2 linked regions of the Cricetulus griseus genome follow. The protein of the gene in region 1 binds, or shares a complex with, the protein of each later gene. Links are inferred from orthologs where the notes say so. Each region holds a gene or a part of one and is shown in the gene's direction. Other genes may lie near its edges.

Region 1 (3,745 bases):
TCTTGGGGGGCGGGGGTGTCCAGGGAGAAGATTTCTGGAGTGGGGATTGGTCAGATTTCAGTCCCTTGAGCTCAGATTGGCTAGATCTTGTGCTCAGAGATTGGTTCATTTTCCCTGCTCAGGGATTGGTTGGTTTTCTGCTTAGTTTGTCAGGAATAGATTGGTGCTAATTTCAGAGCCAGGGCATATTTTTTTCACTGCCTCTGATTCTAGGGCCAAAGTGTGTTTCTTTGACTCTGCTTATGGTGTGTTTCTTTGGCTGGCCCTTTTTCCCTACACAGGGTCTCACTATGTAGCTCTGGATGGCAGATGACCCGGAACTCCGTATGTAGACCAGGTTGGCCTCAAGCAGAGCTAAAGATCCTTTTGTCTCCTGGTGGTGGTGGGATGAGCCTTTAATCCCAGCACTAGTGGAGCAGAGGCAGGTGGCTCTCTTGAATTTCAGGCCAGTCTGGTCTACAGAATGAGTTCCAGGGCAGCAAGGATCCATCTGCCTCTGCCTCCAGGGTGTTGGGATTAAAGGCATGAGCCATTAAGCCTAGCCTTAATTTATTTTTGAGACAGGGTCTCTGCTATGTAGAACATAATGGCTGCAAACTCATGATTCCCTACCTTCACCTCCTGAGCTGCTGCCATTACAGGCCTGAGCCATTAGGCTCTGCTGATTCACAATCCTCACAACGACTATCTTTTGAAACGTGTGTGTGTGTGTGTGTGTGTGTGTGTGTGTGTGTGTGTGTGTGTTTCACATTGTATCTCTGGCTGGCCTGGAACTCTATGTAGATCAGGCTAACTTCAAACTGAGATGAGCCTGCTTCTGCCTCTGGAGTCCTGAGATTAACGGCATGCGCCACCATCCAGGAATCTGCTCTCCAGCCAGGATGGTGGGGCTAGACCTTGCTCAGATTTCCCACCTGCAGTTGGGGTGGTGAGGCAAGGGCATTGTCTGAGGCAAGGCACATAGGATACTTAACAGGCTTATGCCGCAGCTGGACTTTGGATGCAGTGAGCGTCCGTGGGTGTCTGCAAGGCTCAGGGGCTCACAGTGGGAAGAGGACAGCAAGGACGACCCCACACGGACCAGCACCACTCTGCGCCTGCTTTCGCGCGCGCAGACCGCCAGCGGCCCGGAAGCCGCGCGCGCAGGCGCAGTGGCGGCGCGCCCCCTGGCGGCCGGCGGCGGTAGCGCGCAGGGTCCGCCTACCGGTCGCGCGCCGCCGCCTCCGCCGCCGCTTGAGCCCAACATGGCGATGCACAACAAGACGGCGCCGCCGCAGATCCCAGACACCCGGCGGGAGCTGGCCGAGCTGGTGAAGCGGAAGCAGGAGCTGGCGGTGAGTGGCCGGGGCCGGGACGCTGTCCCCGCCTGGCCTCGCAGGCCCCTCCGGAGGCGAGAGCTCTGGGCGGCCGGAGTCCCGGAGCTCTGGGCGGCCGGGCGCGGCGCGGTTCCCTGCGGCGGCGCGGCTCCCGGCCTGCGCTCGGCGGGCGGGCGGGGGCGGCGAGGGCGCGGGAAGGGCGAGAGGCAGGAGGCGGGGACGACGCTCGGGCCGGGCTTAGCGGGTGGGAAGGAGGCTGCTAGACCCCGGCCTGGAGAGGACTCGGGAGCGTGTCGGGTGGGTACCCGCGGCCGATTGCACGGGCGGCACGTTTCAATGGCCGGAGAATGTGGTGTATTTGAGGATGCCTGGAAGGGGGCTGGCTGGCCGGAGGCGCAGGACGCAGTCTAGGGAATTTGGAATGGTGACGCGCACCCGGAGCCGCCGGCACCCTGGTGGCTCAACCCTCCAGGCTCCCGCCTTTTGCTGCGAGCATCCGGGAGGCAAAGCTCACCTGAAGCTGCCCTTCCAGGTTTCCATAGCAACCGGCATCCGCTGCGGGCGGCCCTTCCAGAGCTAGTAGGGAGGGAGCAGTTAATGTAGAAAAGATGATTTTGAAAAGCTCTTCACCCTCGTCTCTGCTGGCAGCGACACATTTAGTGAGTGAAAATAGAGACAGCTTACATTCTCTCTCATCTCTGCTCACGAAGTAGATGTAAAATCTTGCATGTGTGTGCATTTTCTGAGGACAGGCTTCACATTCCATTTTATTTATAAAAGGGTCCATCACCTCCACTCTTCCACAAAAATGGTTTAGTGTGGGTAAGCTTGACGTTACAAGTCTGTATCCAGATCTCAGTTTGCTCATGGTTAATGCTTGCTTCGCCATGTCCCTCTTTTCATCACTTAGGAAACACTTGCAAACTTGGAGAGACAGATCTATGCTTTTGAAGGAAGCTACCTGGAAGACACTCAAATGTATGGCAATATTATCCGTGGCTGGGATCGGTATCTGACCAATCAAAAGTGAGTGTCAGAATCTAGTAGTATCCATTTTATCCCCTGATAATATTTATCTGTATGGTTTTTGTATTGTTTTTTAAAAACATAGTCTTACCATGTAGCCCTGGCTAACTTGGAACTTAATATGTAGTTCAGGTGACCTCAGACTCACAGGTTACATAGATCCTTTTCCCTCTGACTTCCTTCCAGTTCTGGATTTAAAGGCATGGGCTGCCATTGCATATCTTGGGATGTTTGTTCTTGGTATCCTCTTTGCAGGGAGATGGTGATAGAGTCATTGTGTGAAATGAGGTCTAAGCTTGAACTTGTATTCTGACTCTGCCATTGTCTCATGGAGTAACCGTGGACAAAGCCCATATTTGTGACTAGGGAAAGTCGGGCCCATGGTGCAGGCATATGTAGGTATAAATGAAATACAACATGCGACTTAACTATCTTCCAGATTTTAGTCAACCGTGATATCCAGTTATGCCTTTTGCCATAACTGTATGCTAATTGTACCATTATTTACTTGGTAATGATACTATAAAAATTTCTAAACTTGTGGGAAGTTTTCAAACCTGTAGAAAAATTGAGATCATGTGATACATGGTAGTTTGTATTTTTCCCCTGTATTCATGAGTTGCTAACTTACTGTGGGTGCAAGCTCTAATATATGAAGCCATGTATGTATGCTTTGTATTTTGAAATAATTGCAGATTCATATAGGAAGCAGCAGAGAAGTCTTGTATGTTCTTCACACAGTTTTCTCTAATGGTTACATCTTACGTACCTATAGTAGTACATTATCAAAACCAGGCAACTGATCCTGGCATGACGTGAGTGTAGTTGTATGGCATTTTATCGTATCTGTATAACCACAGATGTAAAACTAGGCCCAGGAGGCATGGTTCAGTGGGTAAAAGCACTTGATGTGCAAACCTGATGACCTGAGTTCAGTTCCCAGAACCTATGTTAAAAAGCTGCAGGGAGAGATGATTCCCAGCACCCAAGTCAGGTGCCTTACAACTACCTATGCGGCCAGCTCCAGGGGATCAGACTTTCTACTACACTCATGAATATCTGCCCCACCACACATTAAACACACCTATGTATAATGTTTTTAAAATGCACATCTTGCCGGGCGTTGGTGGCGCACGCCTTTAATCCCAGCACTCGGGAGGCAGAGGCAGGCGGATCTCTGTGAGTTGGAGGCCAGCCTGGTCTCCAGAGTGAGTGCCAGGATAGGCTCCAAAGCTACACAGAGAAACCCTGTCTCGAAAAAAAAAAAAAAATAATAATAATAAAAATAATAAAAATAAAATGCACATCTGGCATTTTAGCACATTGAGGTGGGAGTTGGGGGCAGGAGAATCATTTGGAAGCTTGTAGGCTGGCAAGCTGGGATAGGCAGTGCTGTCAGAATA
Region 2 (3,745 bases), on another chromosome or scaffold:
ATTGTGTAGTGTAGCCTTGGTCTTGGAGATGGCTCTGTAGATCAGGCTGGCCTTCAACTCAGAAACAACTGCTTCTGACACCTGAATGCTGGGATTAAAGGCATGCACCACCCCCGCCTGGCGGAAGCTTTTACTCTTTGCCTACTTGCTCTCTCTCCCTAGCAAGTCCCCTCCTTCACTGTCATTACAGTCTACTTCGTTTATAGCGCCACATATATACTTTTTTTTTTTTTTTGAGACAGGGTTTCTCTGTGTAGTCCTGGAACTCACTCTGTAAACCAGGCTGGCCTCCAACTCACAGAAATCCACCTGCCTCTGCCTTCCAGAGTTCTGGGATTAAAGGCATGCACCACCAGCGGCCTTATATTATTTTAAAAAAGAGAAACCCAATATACAAAATTAAACACATCTTGCTAAGTCCACACAGCTGTACAAAGCTGTGCAAGCACGTGGCTGGGTCTTCAAATGTCTTCGGGTCCATTGACTGCCCAGTGAGGGTTCAAAACCTCACTTCAGCCGGGCGCTGGTGGTGCACGCCTTTAATCCTAGCACTCGGGAGGCAGAGGCAGGAGGATCTCTGAGTTCAAGACCAGCCTGGTCTCTAGAGCGAGTGTCAGGATAGGCTCCAAAGCTACACAGAGAAACCCTGTCTCGGAAAACCAAAAAAAAAAAAAAAAAAAAAAGAAGTCACTTCCCAGTTTCTCACTCAGGGCGACGCTTCCCGCCGCCACTACGAGGCGCCCGAACAAAGCCGCAGGTCAGAGCCTAAGCACTTCATTGCGTGACCCGCGTCGCACCCGGTGGGCGTCACGTGACAGACTCGGTTTTCCTCCAATCACTGTGCGAGTTGTGGGGATTCTATCTATTACTCGGTCTCGGGCTTACAACACCCTGCTCCCCCATTGCTAAAATGGGCCTGCCCCTTGCTACCAGCCACACAGCAGTAACTCAAGTGTTTTCCTCTCAAGCAGTTTCGAGGGGCTCCGGCCTTTAGCGCACTCAGTTCCGGAAGTGACGTTTCCCAGAGGGGCCGGAAGTGGCAGTGGAGGGAGGGAAGATGGCGGAGGTGGTGAGTCCGGTGCCCGGGGCGGGGCGGAGGGAGCCAGGGGAGGTGGGTAGAGCCCGAGGCCCCCCAGTAGCCGACCCTGGCGCCGCGCTGTCTCCCCAGGGGGAGATAATCGAGGGCTGCCGCCTGCCCGTGCTGCGGCGCAACCAGGACAACGAAGATGAGTGGCGTGAGTGACGTCGGGGGGCGGGTCCAAGGAACCTGAGGGCGAGGGGCGGGAGTCAACGAAAACACGGGAGGGGGAGGGGCTTCTGCGATCCTGGGGCAGTCGCAGATACTCGGAAGGAGGGGCGTGGCTTTGAACCGTACGGAGATGAGCCGGGAGGGGCTTGGAGAGAGGTGTCACTTGGTGACTAAAGAGGTCTTGAGCCAAACCTTCTAGGTGCTGGGGCATAGGAATTCAGCCTGGAGGTGGAGTCCAGGTCCAAGGGTGGAGTCTCATGACCTGGCTCGGCTAAGACCCCCTGTCTGTGTTCTTCCCGTAGCCCTGGCTGAGATCCTGAGCGTGAAGGACATCAGTGGCCGGAAGCTTTTCTATGTCCATTACATTGATTGTGAGTCCTGGGCCCGGGCTAAGTGGGGCTGCTGGATAGGGTTGAGGGCATCCTCTGGCATTCCCTCCTGAGCCATTTCCCCTGCTGCAGTCAACAAACGTCTGGATGAATGGGTGACTCACGAGAGGCTGGACTTAAAGAAGATACAGTTCCCCAAGAAAGAGGCTAAGACCCCTACCAAGAACGGACTTCCTGGGTCCCGCCCCGGCTCGCCTGAAAGAGAGGTGGTGAGTAGGTCCCCCATTTCACATTTTCTCTCCTGCCTCTTCCTTCTTGCATCTCTTGGCCTCGGGGGTTCCCAAATGAGCAGGAGGCAATATTCTCATGCCATGACTTCAGCTTGCAAAGGATGGGGGCTAAAATCGCAGGTGTAGCTTCCAGAGTCCACTATTGCCTTGCTTTAGAGAAGGCAAAGGGTGGGATTTGATCACTCCATGTTGAGGGGACCATCTGCCCCTTTGCCATCCCACCACCATCCCCACCCCAGAGGAAGACTCTGGACCTATCTCTACAGCCGGCCTCCGCCCAGGCCAGCGGGAAGACTTTGCCAATCCCGGTCCAGATCACTCTCCGCTTCAACCTGCCCAAGGAGCGGGAGGCCATTCCCGGTGGCGAGCCCGACCAGCCGCTCTCCTCCAGCTCCTGCCTGCAACCCAACCACCGCTCAACGGTACCCTCAGCAATTCCAGGGACCTTGCTTTCTTCTCAGGTCCCACCTTCTCTACCTTCTGACCCACCTTTCTTGGTTTCTCTCTGCAGAAACGGAAGGTGGAAGTGGTTTCACCAGCAACTCCAGTGCCCAGCGAGTCAGCCCCAGCCTCAGTTTTCCCTCAGGTTAGTCTTCCAGTTTCTTTTTTTAAAGATTCCTATGAGTGTCTTATCTGCATTATGTATGTGTACCACTTGCATGCCAGAAAAGGATATTGGGTCCTTTGAAACTGGAGTTAGAGGTGGTTGATTGTAAGCTGCCATATGTGCTGGGAAAGGAACCCATGTCCTCTGCAAGAGCAGCCAGGGTTCTTAAACTACTGAGCCTCCTTGACCGTCCCTCCAGTCTTCTTCCCCTTCCTTCATCTTTCTTGCTGTCTAGTATCCTCCTTCAGGCTCATCTCAGTCACCCTTTCTTTCATCTTATCCACAGAATGGATCAGCCCGTAGGGCAGTGGCAGCACAACCAGGACGGAAGAGGAAATCTAATTGCCTGGGCACTGATGAGGTGGGTCTCAGGGAGCAGAGGAAGAAGAAAGATGGGCAAGGGGATGGACTTGAGCAAGGAGAGTTCATTCAGTGACTAATTTAAAAGCAAACAAGCCAGGCAGTAGTTGAACATGCCTTTAATCCTAGCACTTGGGAGGTAGAGGCAGGTGAATCTGAGTTCTAGAGCAGCCTGGTCTACAGAGTGAGTTCCAGGACAGCTAGAGCTACACAGAGAAATACTAGGGAGAGGGGGAGAGAGACAAAGAGAGCAAAAAGAAGTCTGCACTTGGGTGGAGTCATTTCTTTGGTCTTTGTTCTGTCTGTCTGGAGTAGATAGACAGATTCCCCAGGAAAGTCATGGGACAACAGGCTTTCCCATCCCACTGTCCTGCAGGCTCAAGAGAGGAACATGAGGTGGTAGGTACATTAGCTATTGGGTAATTTTTATCATAGTACCAGTTTCCTTTGGTTTATTTTGGAAAATGAGCATTATGATGCTTTCCCCTTAGTTGATATTAGACTTGAAGAAAGGAACCTGTGGCAGGGTTGTGAGCCATGTTCTGCTCAACTGTCTGCTGTAACCTACCATTTCTCTAGCCAGGAGGCAGAGGCAGGTGGATCTCTGTGAGTTTGATACTAGCCTGGTCTACAAGAGCTAGTTCCAGGACAGCCTCCAAAGCCACAGAGAAATCCTGTCTTGACCCCCCCCCCCAAAAGAAGAATCTACCATTTCTCACTTGCCTTGGGCAGGACTCTCAGGACAGTTCAGATGGAATACCGTCAGCACCACGCATGACTGGCAGCTTGGTGTCTGACCGGAGTCACGACGACATTGTCACCCGGATGAAGAATATAGAGTGTATTGAGCTTGGCCGGCATCGCCTCAAGCCATGGTACTTCTCCCCGTACCCACAAGAGCTCACCACAC

The links. The genes of interacting proteins can lie anywhere in the genome.
Region 2: Meaf6 (region 1) and Kat5 share a complex: the UniProt entries of both Homo sapiens proteins name them as parts of the nuA4 histone acetyltransferase complex. The link is inferred for Cricetulus griseus from reciprocal best matches to the Homo sapiens genes MEAF6 and KAT5.

Annotation. Positions count from the first base shown.
Region 1 is NC_048595.1:27,970,436-27,974,180, reverse strand, and holds the start of Meaf6 (chromatin modification-related protein MEAF6), read left to right. Parts: upstream 1-1,179; 5' UTR 1,180-1,244; coding exon 1,245-1,334; intron 1,335-2,226; coding exon 2,227-2,342; intron 2,343-3,745.
Region 2 is NC_048596.1:53,746,898-53,750,642, forward strand, and holds the start of Kat5 (histone acetyltransferase KAT5), read left to right. Parts: upstream 1-1,042; 5' UTR 1,043-1,057; coding exon 1,058-1,235; intron 1,236-1,551; coding exon 1,552-1,620; intron 1,621-1,710; coding exon 1,711-1,847; intron 1,848-2,107; coding exon of another isoform or gene 2,108-2,134; coding exon 2,135-2,290; intron 2,291-2,379; coding exon 2,380-2,454; intron 2,455-2,761; coding exon 2,762-2,836; intron 2,837-3,567; coding exon 3,568-3,745. UniProt on the Homo sapiens protein: Catalytic subunit of the NuA4 histone acetyltransferase complex, a multiprotein complex involved in transcriptional activation of select genes principally by acetylation of nucleosomal histones H2A and H4.